3 linked regions of the Tribolium castaneum genome follow. The protein of the gene in region 3 purifies or fractionates together with the protein of the main gene of each other region. This does not show direct contact. Links are inferred from orthologs where the notes say so. Each region holds a gene or a part of one and is shown on either strand. Other genes may lie near its edges.

What was found. Proteins that work in one complex are often made in the same cells at the same time.
Region 1: the proteins of dpa (region 3) and Ssrp purify together in Homo sapiens (affinity purification with mass spectrometry; 4 studies listed by BioGRID and IntAct, counting the BioPlex papers as one, with this or other methods). This does not show direct contact. The link is inferred for Tribolium castaneum from reciprocal best matches to the Homo sapiens genes MCM4 and SSRP1.
Region 2: the proteins of dpa (region 3) and polo purify together in Homo sapiens (affinity purification with mass spectrometry; 3 studies listed by BioGRID and IntAct, with this or other methods). This does not show direct contact. The link is inferred for Tribolium castaneum from reciprocal best matches to the Homo sapiens genes MCM4 and PLK1.

What each region holds. Positions count from the first base shown.
Region 1 is NC_087395.1:25,956,961-25,961,583, reverse strand, and holds Ssrp (FACT complex subunit Ssrp1), read left to right. Parts: upstream 1-1,576; 5' UTR 1,577-1,736; coding exon 1,737-1,787; intron 1,788-1,836; coding exon 1,837-2,238; intron 2,239-2,450; coding exon 2,451-2,629; intron 2,630-2,677; coding exon 2,678-2,917; intron 2,918-2,971; coding exon 2,972-3,392; intron 3,393-3,442; coding exon 3,443-4,288; 3' UTR 4,289-4,317; downstream 4,318-4,623. Other genes in the region: uncharacterized protein LOC661743, read right to left, coding at 585-622; tRNA pseudouridine synthase-like 1, read left to right, coding at 4,526-4,593. UniProt on the Homo sapiens protein: Component of the FACT complex, a general chromatin factor that acts to reorganize nucleosomes. The FACT complex is involved in multiple processes that require DNA as a template such as mRNA elongation, DNA replication and DNA repair.
Region 2 is NC_087398.1:11,007,761-11,012,254, reverse strand, and holds the start of polo (serine/threonine-protein kinase polo), read left to right. Parts: upstream 1-1,447; 5' UTR 1,448-1,582; coding exon 1,583-1,675; intron 1,676-1,728; coding exon 1,729-1,953; intron 1,954-4,494. UniProt on the Homo sapiens protein: Serine/threonine-protein kinase that performs several important functions throughout M phase of the cell cycle, including the regulation of centrosome maturation and spindle assembly, the removal of cohesins from chromosome arms, the inactivation of anaphase-promoting complex/cyclosome (APC/C) inhibitors, and the regulation of mitotic exit and cytokinesis.
Region 3 is NC_087396.1:22,083,822-22,088,366, reverse strand, and holds the start of dpa (DNA replication licensing factor MCM4), read left to right. Parts: upstream 1-1,600; 5' UTR 1,601-1,758; intron 1,759-1,804; coding exon 1,805-2,251; intron 2,252-2,301; coding exon 2,302-2,499; intron 2,500-2,678; coding exon 2,679-2,913; intron 2,914-2,969; coding exon 2,970-3,212; intron 3,213-3,563; coding exon 3,564-3,792; intron 3,793-3,843; coding exon 3,844-4,303; intron 4,304-4,356; coding exon 4,357-4,545. Other genes in the region: side-VII (neural cell adhesion molecule 1), read left to right, coding at 1-171. UniProt on the Homo sapiens protein: Acts as a component of the MCM2-7 complex (MCM complex) which is the replicative helicase essential for 'once per cell cycle' DNA replication initiation and elongation in eukaryotic cells.

The sequences.
Region 1 (4,623 bases), on a different chromosome or scaffold from region 3:
AGTCTTGCATTTATGATTAATTAAATTTTAACAAAAGTCGATTTTATTCAATGAGCTATTTTTAGCAACATTCACATTCTTCACGCCATGACCCCCAATATTTACTTTCTTTGTATCTCATAAATTTCATCCTACTTTATTTAAAGACTCCCACTGAGCCACCCTTTGGACTCATCCAATATACTCATACTTTCGACGAATTAGCTATAATTCAGCAAATATCTTATCACTTTATCAATTTATCGTTTCCTCTAACCCGAATTTCCTGGATTTTTTTCCTCAAAAACGTAAAAATTAGCTAGGAAAAAGAGTGGTATATAGGTTTTTGGTGGAGATTGAGGTTAGTTTGCCCGGATCGATAAGATATCAACAGTGGAACAGCTGAGCATCGCGGAGGGGATTGCCAGGCTACCGGGATCAATAACAATAATAAACCAAACAATTGCAAAACGGAAAAACGGCCTACTTTTCATCCACATGCATAAAAGATTTGGCAAAAATTTACAAACGCGCCTTCTCCTCGTGGTCTATTTTTACAGAGGTGTTAAAAAGCGTCAAGGTCGCCATTTCTCAAAATATCTCACCTTTTGGGTTTCCAACGTCGCTTTAAGACGCCCAGCATTTTCCAAACTACATACAAGACGAGCAAATGGAAGAGGAGAATTTTTCAGGTCACAAAACAGCACTCGTTGCCATTCGCGCGTTTTGTTTTTTTCTTACATAGCGAATGAAAACGTTCGTAAAACTGAAACGCGCTGAATTTTTTTTTCAGCAACTCGCGTTATTACGAGACACTTTACACGACCACTGCACTCGTCGAGTGCCTCTCCTGAAATCAAGATGCTGATGCTCAAAATAAACAAGTTGGGGTCATATGACCGGAATGGCGGCACCGGATTGGCGGATCCGGTGAATGCCGGGCTTTGACAGCCAACTCCGGTATTGCTGTCATTGACGGAAGGAAAAAAGTCATCAACCTGCGATTTTGCCCATTCAAAGCGGAGAAAGGAGTTTTTTAATAATTATTTAAAATATCGTCGTTTTTTATATATTTTTCGGTCCACGCACCTACCATTTTATAAATATTTGAGCACCCATGATTTTATTGATTTGGTTTAATAGAATTTCCAAAAAAAAATCCAAAACCGCGTCAACATTTACGATAATTTCCAAACTTTCAGATAAAAGCGACCACAAATAACTTTTTCTTCATTTTGACTGTTTGTGGTTTCCAGTCGGATTATTTGCGACCACAAGAGCATTTTTTATGTCAAGTGACATTATTATTGAAACTGAATACGCTTTATGCAAAGTAACTCAAGTCGGGCAGAATTTTATTACACCTCATAAATTTAAAAAGTTGTATTTTGGTTTCAGAATGAAAAGAACTAATTTTTGGTTGTGGGCAAAAATAAAACAAAATAAATTTAGCCCTCTCGTTTATTTGTTTATTACAATGAATACTAAGTAATTTACATTTGTAATTACAATAAAATAACAATTTTGAATTTGTAATTTTTTTTAATTGCGTAACGCTGCCAACTTATTTCTAGTGGTTTCGCGGGCTTGTTGTGGCAGCCTGACTTCAAGGCCGAAGTTGCGTCAAATGGCGGCATAACCTGTAAAAAAAATCCAAACAAAAAGAAACACCACAAAAAATACTTGAGCTAAGTTTTTGTGTTTTTATATTGTTTTTTTCGTAAATTAAACCAAACTTTGAGTGAATTTTCCCCAAGATGGATTTCCTGGAATATTCGGACATCTCTGCCGAAGTCAAAGGCTGCATGGTACGTTAGCCCCCATTCCCCCAATTCCCCCTCAATTTCCTCGTTTCAGACCGGCGGTAAACTCAAAATGACCGACCAAAACATCATTTTCAAAAACTCGAAGACGGGCAAAGTCGAGTCAATTTCGGCGTCCGATTTCGAGGCAGTCAATTTCCAGAACTTTGCCGGTTCGTTGGGGATCCGCGTGTTCCTCAAGAACGGCACTTTGCACCGATTTGTCGGGTTTAAGGACGCGGAAAAGGAACGTATCGCCAAATTCTTCTCGAACACTTACAAAATCGACATGCTGGAGAAGGAGTTGAGTCTCAAGGGCTGGAACTGGGGCACAGCCAAGTTCAACGGCTCGGTTTTGAGCTTCGAGGTGGGACATAACAGCGCTTTCGAGATTCCGCTCAATCATGTGTCTCAATGTACGGCGGGGAAGAATGAAATCACGATGGAGTTTCATCAGGTGGGAAGGGGGCGCTTATTTTTATTTCAAACTTTTTACTTTTACCAAGGTTTTAAACACGTTTCTCAGCTTTTTTCTTAAAATTTCGTTAAAACATAACAAAATCACCAAATTGTTTTTAACTGTTACGTTCGAAATTACACGTTTTTTGTTAGAAATCAAACTTTTTTCCCCGTTTTCTGGCCGTTTTGTCAAAAACTAATCGATTTTAGAATGATGACGCCCCTGTAAGCCTCATGGAAATGCGATTTTTCATTCCTTCAAACGAATTAGCCGGAGACGTGGACCCAGTTGAAGCCTTCCAAAAACAAGTCATGAAGAAGGCTTCGGTTATCAGTGTCTCAGGCGACGCTATTGCGATATTTCGGGAGATTCAGTGTCTCACACCACGGTTGGTTTGAAAAACCACAAATAAATTTCCCTAAGAATTTTTTTCTAGTGGTCGTTACGATATTAAAATTTTCCAAACGTTTTTCCAATTGCATGGAAAAACATTCGATTATAAAATCCCAATGTCGACAGTCTTGCGTTTGTTTCTCCTTCCACACAAAGACAACCGGCAGATGTTTTTCGTAGTGAGTCTTGATCCACCCATCAAACAGGGCCAAACCAGGTATCATTTTTTGGTCTTGTTATTTGGTCAAGAAGAGGAGACTTCGATCGAATTACCCTTTACCGAGTAATTAATTAATTAATTATTAGGCCAAAATTTTTTCCTAATTAATAATTCCAGTGAGGAACTCAAGGACAAGTATGAGGGCAAGCTGGATAAGGAGTTATCAGGCCCCACTTACGAGGTCTTAGGCAAAGTCATGAAGGTTATAATTAATCGAAAACTGACCGGCCCGGGGGGCTTTGTCGGGCATTCAGGGACCCCAGCTATCGGCTGTTCGTTCAAGGCAGCCGCTGGTTACTTGTACCCCCTTGAACGGGGCTTCATGTACGTCCACAAGCCCCCAATTCACATTCGTTTCGAGGAAGTGGCTTCTGTGAATTTCGCCCGAGGTGGGGGAAGTACCCGTTCGTTTGATTTCGAAATTGAGCTCAAATCCGGGACTGTCCACACCTTTAGCAGCATTGAGAAGGAAGAATACAACAAATTGTTTGATTTCATTACCACCAAGAAACTGAATATCAAAAATCGGGGCAAAAACGTAACAATTTCACTCGTTTTGGTTTGGTTTAATTTGATTGGTTCTTTCAGGATAAAGGGGGCTATAATGACGATTTTGGCGATTCGGATAATGAGGCGGCCCCTGATGCCTACTTGGAGAGGGTTAAGGCCGAGGCACAAGAACGTGATGAAGATGATGACGATGGTCCAAGTGAAGATGAGAGTACTGATGAAGATTTCAAGCCAACTCAGGATGAGAGTGACGTTGCTGAAGAGTTTGATTCAAGTCCGAGCTCAACGTCGTCCGAAGACGAAGAGAAAGGTTCCGGTGATGAACATAAGAAGAAGCACAAAAAAGAGAAGAAGGAGAAGAAAGAAAAGAAGAAACCGGCTAAGACAGTGTCGGAGAAACCGCGCCAAAAGCGGGCCAAGAAATCAAAGGACGAAAATAAACCGAAAAGACCATCGACGGCGTTCATGCTATGGTTAAATGAGATGAGGGATAAAATCAAGGCAGATAATCCCGGGATTAAAATCACCGAAATTGCAAAGAAAGGTGGAGAGATGTGGAAGGAATTGAAGGATAAGTCTGAGTGGGAGGGGAAAGCGGCCAAAGCCAAAGAGGAGTACAACAAGGCCATGAAGGAGTATGAAGCTTCAGGGGGTTCAAAATCGGAAGATAAAAAGTCAAGTGAGAAAAAAGCACCAGCAAAGAAGAAAACCTCTTCTATGCCTTCCGTCAAACCCAGTCAAGTCAAAAGTCGGGAATTTATCGAAGACGACGACTCGAGTAGCGACAGTGATGATGATAAAGGCAAGAAAAGGAAGGGTTCCGATAGCGAACGCGGAAAACCCAAAGACAAGAAAAAGAAGAATAAATCCGAAAGCGAGGAGAGCACACCCGCGTCAAGTGACGCCAATTCCGATAGCGATTAAGTTTCTATTTAATAAATATGTTTAACAAACACCCGGCTTTATTTATTACATAACCTTAATCTTACATAACCTTAATTTCGCAAAAAACGCTATAATCGGCGCAAATTACATTGAATCGCCCTTTGATGCTTACTGTGCATGTGGGGGCCCCTTGCTTGTTTTAATTCGAGATATAAATGGGAAACAGCACGTTATTTACCATTATTTTTGTGACATAACCTCGCTTTAATAACAGCGATGTATTTCACGAAAATGGCTCTGAATCGCTACTTGCTCCACTTTTCGTACATCGGGACCCCTTTCATGTATTTGCTTGCTTCAGTCACGGTCGCGGC
Region 2 (4,494 bases), on a different chromosome or scaffold from region 3:
CAAACACCCATAACTAAAAATTTTCAAATGAAATGCCATCATTTTTTCCTATACTTTTGTTTAACAGTTTTCATGCGGATTTTTTGTTGATATTGTATGTAGGGATGTAGGTAAATGAAATTATGGAATCAAAGTTTTTCAAATCCAAATTCAATGAATTCATTTTGTTTTAACGGAAAGGAAAACAAAATTTTGAACAGAATTTATCGTTTATTCAATGAAATGTTTCTTTGTCAAACTGCGCAAAAATATCTGTGGCTAGCAATGTCAAAAAAATTAACATAACTTGAAAATTATCACAAATAAGCATAAGAAATGCCAACACAGATCGTTGCAGAATTAAATTTTCTTCTATTTAGTGAAATAAAAACTTATAGCATGTAGAAGCTGTCCAAAAATAACGTTAAGATTTTGGATTTTGTAAACTTTTTTGAACACACTGAAGGAAAGATTTAGGCTTTGTTTTTGATTGGCCAAATACTGTTTCTAAAATTCTAAAAATAGCAGAATTTACGATTATTGAAGTGAAAGGTGCAAATCCAAAAATTTCCAAAAAATTCTGATTATTTAGAAAATAGCTAAATTTAGGAATAGGAAAAAGCTAATAAAAAAGTTCATAGCGATTTTCGATACAATCGGAAGTGCCGCCATTTTGAAAATATTTTCAATCAATGAGCTATGGCTCTAGGCTAATTTTCAGATAAATGTTATTATCAAAACTTTCAGTACTTTTTTCAATACTCCGAAACTTAGTTTAGACAGAACACTTTGTATTCGTCAAACATTTTCTCGTTTATTATTAAACTCTAATAAAAATAAGTCAAAATAAATTTCCCGTGTGCCTTTTTTTTTCCTCGAAAACCAAGTGCAGTAATAATAATTGCCAGATTTATTTTTTTGTGAAAAAACAGTGTTCTCATAAATCATACACATTCGATGTTGCATAACAGATGACGCTTTGCAGTTTTGACTTCCCCAAAAATAAAAATACGTACATGTTTATGGTGTTTTTGAAAAAGTGTAGACAACGCAAAGTTAAAATTTTATATTTTATAAATTTTTATAAAACGTATAAAATTTGTCTAGGAAGAACAAGAATTTTAGGAGTAGGCCTTCGCCCTGCCTGAATGCGCGGCCTACAGTCCTGTATAAATTTCTGTTTAGTTTTTTTTTAATATTAATTGTTAGGTTGTTAGCTAGGCAACGCCCTCAGCAGAAGCATTTTGTGAGTTGCATAACACATAAATCAATGTTTTGATAGACTAAATTTAAAATACGGTCAAGATCAGCGTTTGGCCCAATTTTTGATCGACCAAACCAAAGTTGTTGAGTCAATATAAACCACTTTGTGTATTTTATTGTGGTCTATTTTTGTTTGGTGGTTAGAGATCGCGTTCTGCAAGTAGTCACTTCCGTTGACAATTCTTTTTTCCCCACCATTTTCCTGTCCAATCAGCCAATCAGCTGCCGGCGTTTGAAATCTTCTCAACTGCCAAAAGTTTTTCAAGCCGTGGTGGATGCTTGCCGTAAAAACCCAACCAAACGCAATAACTGTGAATAAAACTAGGAGTAATTAGTGAAAATGTCGAAAGTGGACGATTATGTCGTAGTTCCCGACTATATATACGACGAGAACACGAAAATTAGGTACAAAAAGGGGCAGTTCTTCGGCAAGGTTAGTGTTGTTTTTGTCGATGGGTTCATGTGATAGTGGCCGTTTTTTCTTAGGGCGGATTTGCAAAATGCTACGAAATTACGAATGTGGCCAACAGCCAAACGTTCGCCGGGAAAGTCGTCTCGAAAAAGCTGATAGTCAAGGAAAACCAGAAGGAGAAAATGACTCAGGAGATACAGATACACAAGTCGTTGAAACACAAAAATATTGTCGGTTTTTATAGTTTTTTCGAGGATACGGACAATATTTATATAGTTTTGGAGCTGTGCAGAAAGCGGGTGAGTTTTTGGCCCTTTAAACTGCGTCTGTTTCCTGGTTGTTATCGCTGCTCACTCTGTATTATGGGAAACTATAATATTGATAGTTTTATCACCAAAACTAATATTTAAACTGATGTCTGTCATGGCCAATGGTTGCACAAACAAAGAGCTAAATTAATTGGTAAATTAAACAACAGTCCACCTCTTTAAGACACTGTAGTTTGTATAATTAATTATTCATGTTGGTATCACTTGTGGCGCTTATACTTGGGTTTCTAAGTTAGGGAGGTAGTTCTAACTACAGTTTCCAGGTTTATTAATTTCAAAACCTCTTTTGACTCAAGTCGTAATGGAAAAGATTGTAGCAAAAAAATTATATTAAAATACCATTTTTATTGTACATAAATAAGAAGGGTAAATTATGAATGGGGGCTATGATGGGGGCTCGTAGATGACTTTGGTACCTTAGGCCCTAGTTGGTATTCCTTAAAACCTTTGATAAATTTACAAGTAAACAAAGTGCTTGCCAAAGTTTTTTGGAAAATATTTCAGAAAGCAAACACAGTTATTGATAAAATTGTGTTACTCTTATCTTTTGAGCTTCCTAGCTGAAAAATCATGAAATTAAAGCGAAATTTATTTAATTTAGCTTATTTTATTCGATTTTGCTCGTTTTTTTCCAAGCCAGTAAACACGTGTTTGAACTTACATTCTTAGTTTCTTGTAAAAATCACTAAATTTACTGAAACATTTTTTTTCCTTTTCCATTTACAGCCAATAAAGGAATTATCCCTGAAAATTGTGTACACGAGATAAAAACTAAGTTTTTTTTTTAGAAAAATTTACGCGAAAATGTGATTATTTCAACCAGAGATTCATTTATTGCACAAGAACTTTTTACAACAATAAATCTTAATCAAAAGTAATGTTATTTCTGCCTGTTTTTGAGCATTTAAGCATGTTTTAGAGCTAAAACCTGTTTTTTGAGACCGAAAAATTACCAGTTTGAATCCAAAATTATTTCGTTTTTTTTTTTTTCACCAGCAACGCAAATTTTTCGCGAAATCTCTTAAAAACAAGTCGAAAAGTCACCCAAAACATATACTAAAATGGGTGTTATTTTAGTGTTCTTCGACTTTCATTGAGTTAAAAATTAAGTTTTTTTCAAAAAATATACCTAAAAGTGGATGAAAATTCACCGAATATATCGAAATTTTTATTTTATATTTTTTAGTTCGAGGCTGATTTATTTGGAATTGATGTCAGTTTTTTTCGATTTATCACGTTTTTGGGCGAAATTTCATCAATAGTAAGCTTAAAAGATAAAAGTTTGGTCGCAAAGTGTGTTATTTTTATATTTTCTAAGCAAGTGTTTGGAGTTTCTTATGAATTTTCTAAATTTAGCTGAGTAAAATATTCTTTTTTCTTTTCCAAATGGTATTTTGTAATGAACAAACCGAAATTTCACCAAGTCACACTGAAAATTGTGTGAATTCTGAGTTTTTCGAATATTTAAACATGTTTTGAGATATTAACTAAATTTTTTTTAGAAAAATTTTGCTAAAGGTAGGTAAAAATTAGAATATTTTAACCAGAGATTCAATTATTAATTAATACTCAAAAATTTTTTACAACAATAAATTCTGATCAAAAATAACGTTATTTCTGCCTTTCTTGAGTATTTAGACATGTTTTAGGGCTAAAATCTCTATTTTTTTTGCTAGAAGTGACCGAAAATTAAAAATTTAAATCTAAAATTATTTCGTTTTGTCTTTTTTTAGCACGTTTAAAAAAACAGACCGAAAAGTCACCTAATTTTACTAAAATGGGTGTTACTTTAGTATTCTTCAACTCTTGAGTTTTTTTTTTTTTTCGAAAAATTTACCGAGAAATGGATGAAACATCTCCGAATTAGATCAAAATTGAAGTTGTCTTATATTTTTCTAAGTTCAGACTGATTTACTTTGCTAGAACTTGTTAAAAGACTCGTAAAAATCACAAAATAAATAGACATTGAGTTTTTTTCGATTTATCGCGTTTTTTAGCAAAATTTTGTTATAATAGGCCGATAAACCACAGCATTTAGTCGAAAAGCATGTTGTGTTTGCGAGTGGTTGACACCAGTGGCGTATCCACAGGGGTTCCGTGGAACCCGGGCCCGGAGCCTAAAAGGGCCCGCAAGCTTCAAGAGCTCTTCGATTCAAATTTTAATGAAAAAAATTGTTTCTAAATTTATCCCAGGCAATAGGCGATTGTTGTAAAGTATAGTCTGCAATTGTAAAGCGATACGGTCTAAATAATACTACGAATTCATAAAAATGTCTACGTTAGTCGAAGCATTAATTGACAGAACGTGTTACAAATTCACAACAAAATGTTAAATAAAAAAGTCACCAACGATAAGGGCACAAAAGGTTTATTTTACCTACAACCAATTAAATTATATCCAATTATAATCAGCTCGGATTTTGTTATTCTCATTTAGTTCTTTAAAGAGTGTTGGTTAAGTGAAGATGTAAATTGTCGTACTTTATTTTAACAATTTATTTACCTAAAATT
Region 3 (4,545 bases):
CACCTGCCCCCGGGGGTGTACCCGGTGCCGTACCGCGGCCCCCATCCGCAGCAGAGGCCGCGTCCGCAGCCCCGGGAGCCCCCCATACCCATGCAGCCCCTCGCCACGACGGAAGAGGAGCCCTCGGTGGACACCCCCCTCATGGTGAACAAGCGGGAAAGCACGGTTTGACAAGTGACTTCCCTGTAAACGCTGCCAAAGACAGGGTTCCAATAATTGTTTTAAGTATTCTTATATCTACCAACGAAATTGTACCAACAGGCTAAATTCACTGGGAACAAAGGGTTTACTTTTTTTCTTCCGGGAATTATTTACGCTTGGCAAAATTAACATATCTTGGAAGGTTTACGTGCTGTGAGGGTGGGGTTTCTTATTTTTTATTCGCTGGTGTACGTCGTCGCGAGTGGTTGTAAAAAAGATAAACTTATGAAAATGTTACTAGCTTCAAGGAAATCATTGTTGTATAGGCCGTTTTTGTCAAATGCGTTTTGCCTACTGAAAGTTTTTGTATTCGCTTCATTTATACGAGTGTTATTTTTGTATATTTTGTACATAAACCTAGGTAATGAAAATAAATGTGATAATTATAAATTATCTGAAGGATACGTCGATGTATCATTTTTTTCAAAAATAAATGCCAAGTCTGTTACTTAAATACGACTTTTTATATATCGTATAAGAGATTATATCAGAATTTGTACATGTTGTATATAACTGTATATAAATAACTATTTTGCCTTGTAAATATTACCTACCTTTAATTAAATCGAGTGTTCACGACTACATACCTACATTTTTTGTAATTATTTGAAGGGTGTAATGGTTATTCGTTATCCAATCAAATTTCATCTGTGAAAATTTAAATATAAATGTATTGAAAAAACAATGTTTTATTTCACCCATACCAATTTTTTTTACCTTCCACAAATTTTAGCAAAATAATGGTATGTGCCTGATGAAATTTATTACATAACATTTTGATATTTTACTATTTAATGGTAAAAATCATTTTCTCTGAATAAAATTTTATTAACTTAGTAAGTAGTCCGTTCACTGTAGAATTACACGTTCGTAATGTTGGTTGCATACCATTCATTTTTTCTATGTAGGGTTAAATTCATGATAAAAAATTCAATTTTGGGGCCTTATATTGCTATCTTTATTGTTATATCTTTAATAGAAAGGTTTAAATGCTGTAGTGCATAAGATGCATAAGATTTTCACAATGTCCGAATTTGAGAAATACGGGGAGCTCAAGCACAAGAACATCAAAATTTTGACCTTAAATTAATAACAAAATGTGAAACCTACCTTTTTCTCGATCTGGAACACACCCAACACCAATTCTGCACGATTTTTCACCAAAAAAAGTCTTAAGCAACAAACACCAACAAATTTTCACAACAAACAATAAAGCCACTTGATTTTTAAAACAAAATTCTGTGCGCATGCGGCTTTGTAGCTAAGGCAACTCCAAGCAGCCTTGAAAATAATGTAATAACGTAAACTTTATAAAATTCGGTTTTAACAGAATTTTTATCTACAAATCAACATTGTTACAAAGTTTTAATTTTACAAACAATGGGGTAAACAATCATTAAAACCACGTTGAAACTTTAGCCACTATTAACAAAGCGCGCGTCATCTGCAACCTCTTCCACGAACTACTTAGCGTTTTCCCGCCTTTTTTACAGCAACAACAGTTGGTTAATTGTGTAAAAAAACATTATCAACACATTTTTTGTTGTTTTATTTACGGTAAGTGATTAAATCAGCGATAACTCCACCTAAAAACCCAAATTAGATGTCTTCCCCAGCCCCCCATCGTACCCCTCGCGCAAACCGCGACGATGATGCGCCCACTCCTCGGGGACGCAGACCTGCCGGGGGTCAAACCCCTCGAGGTCACCGCACCCCAGCTCGTGAGGACCCTCCCCAAACCCCATCTCGGACCCCCAGACGGAACCCAACTCCTGCCAAAAGCGACACCATTGATACCCCAATGCGTTGGGGCGGAGCCCGACGTGATTTGGACGCCGACGGCGGGGAAATCCCCTCGTCTCCGGCTGGGGTCACAAGCCCACCGGTGGCAATGAGCGAGATTGATTTATCTTCGCCACTTAATTACGGGACTCCTTGCTCTTTGGGGTCCATCAGGACCCCCAGATCGGGGATTAGGGGGACCCCAATTAGGATGCGGCCCGATGTGAGGACTGATCGGAGGATGAGACAAGTTAATGTCGGAGGAGAGGTTCAACAACTGTTTCAAAAATTGAGCTCGTTTTGACTCGATTTTTTTAGTTGGATCCGGTTGCTGAGGGTGATGAGGGCAGTACAGCCCCGCATTTGGTCATTTGGGGCACTAATGTCTCAGTTGCTGAATGTAAAGAGAAGTTCAAACAGTTTGTTTTGCGGTTTATTGATCCAAATGCGGAAGAAGATGAAAGAACTGATGATATGAATGTTAACGAACCCTTGTATTTTCAAAAATTGGACGAGGTGCGAACCTTATCATGATCAAAGAGGCGTTGACTTTGTTATTACGTTGGCAATGCTATCAGATTTAAGCGTCAGACAAATTTAAAAAAAACAATCGTATTTGTCTTTTTTATCTGTTGCCAACTTAATTTCAAAATCATTGATCACAAACTTGATCGTGTAGCAATTATTTTTCGTAGATAAACACCCTCGAAGAGCCGTTTTTGAACGTCAACTGTTCTCACATTGAGACTTTTGACGCCAATTTATACCGCCAATTGGTTTCGTATCCTCAAGAAGTCATTCCAATTTTTGACATGATGATCAACGAAATGTTTTACGAGCGTTATCCTGCTGCTGAATTGGAGCACCAGATTCAAGTCCGGCCCTTCAATGCGGAAAAAACACGAAATATGAGGGCCCTGAACCCTGAAGGTTAAATTCCTTCCAAAAAAAAATCTTTTAATATAAAATTTTATTTTTTTGCACAGATATTGATCAGTTGATCACAATCACTGGCATGGTCATCCGTACATCGAATTTAATGCCTGAGATGAGAGAGGCATTTTTCAAATGTATAGTTTGTAACTTTACAACGACTGTGGAAATTGACAGGGGGCGCATTACCGAACCCACTCTTTGCACCAGTTGTAACACCAATCACTGCTTTACTTTGGTCCACAATCGGTCGCAGTTCACCGACAAACAGATGATCAAATTGCAGGAATCCCCGGGTATTTTTTTAATTTATGTTTTCTCCTCGGATTTATTTTTATTTTTTATTCTTAACCATTCTACAAGATGATCCCAGTTTATCTTCATCCATGATATTTCTTCTTTTCTAATTTATTTCAACTTTTTTATATTTTACACTGAAAAAAATTGTTTGAACTATAAGAAAAAATTTATTTTTGTCGCCAACCTCGGGAAGAATTGAAGATTTTTTATTATCTATCTTCTATTTAATCCACACTTAACACTTACCCACTTAACTAAACGTTACAGTTACATAAAAAAAACGTTTTCTAGTTAAATCATAAGCACAATTTTTTATTTTTTTTTATTATTATAATGTTTTTGGTCAGACGACATGCCTGCGGGCCAAACCCCGCACACCGTCGTCCTCTTCGCCCACAACGACCTGGTGGACGCCGTCCAACCGGGCGACAGGGTCACCGTAACGGGGATTTACCGAGCGCAACCCCTTCAAGTGAACCCCCGACAACGCAACCTTCGCGCGGTTTACAAAACACACATTGACGTCCTCCACTTCCGTAAAATCGACACGAAACGCTTATACGAAGAGGAGGACGGGTAAAAACACCACAGTGAAAAAATAACTCACTTCCCCTCTTATTCTTCCAGCAAAGACCATCGTTTTCCACCCGAACGGATCGAATTATTACAACTCCTTTCAGAAAAAGAGGATATTTACGAACGGCTAGCTCACGCTTTAGCGCCGTCGATTTACGAAAACGCCGACGTCAAAAAAGGGATTCTCTTACAACTGTTTGGCGGAACGAAGAAAAAATTTGTTACGTCAGGTCGTACGAATTTTCGGTCCGAAATCAATATTTTGCTGTGTGGAGATCCGGGAACCTCCAAGTCACAACTTTTACAATACGTTTATAATTTGGTTCCCCGAAGTCAGTACACTTCAGGGAAAGGCTCCTCAGCTGTTGGTTTAACAGCCTATGTGACCAAAGACACCGAGACTAGACAGTTGGTTCTGCAAACGGGGGCCCTAGTTTTGGCCGACAACGGCATCTGTTGTATCGACGAGTTCGACAAAATGAACGACTCGACTCGCAGTGTCTTGCACGAGGCGAGTTGAGAATTGTTTAGCAATTGATCAAAATTTAAACAGAGTTTTTACAGGTGATGGAACAACAGACTTTGAGCATAGCCAAGGCTGGAATAATCTGCCAGTTAAACGCCCGGACTTCAATTCTCGCGGCCGCAAACCCGTCCGAATCTCAATGGAACAAAAATAAAACCATAATCGAAAACGTGCAACTACCACACACTCTTTTATCGCGCTTTGACCTAATTTTTCTGATTTTGGAC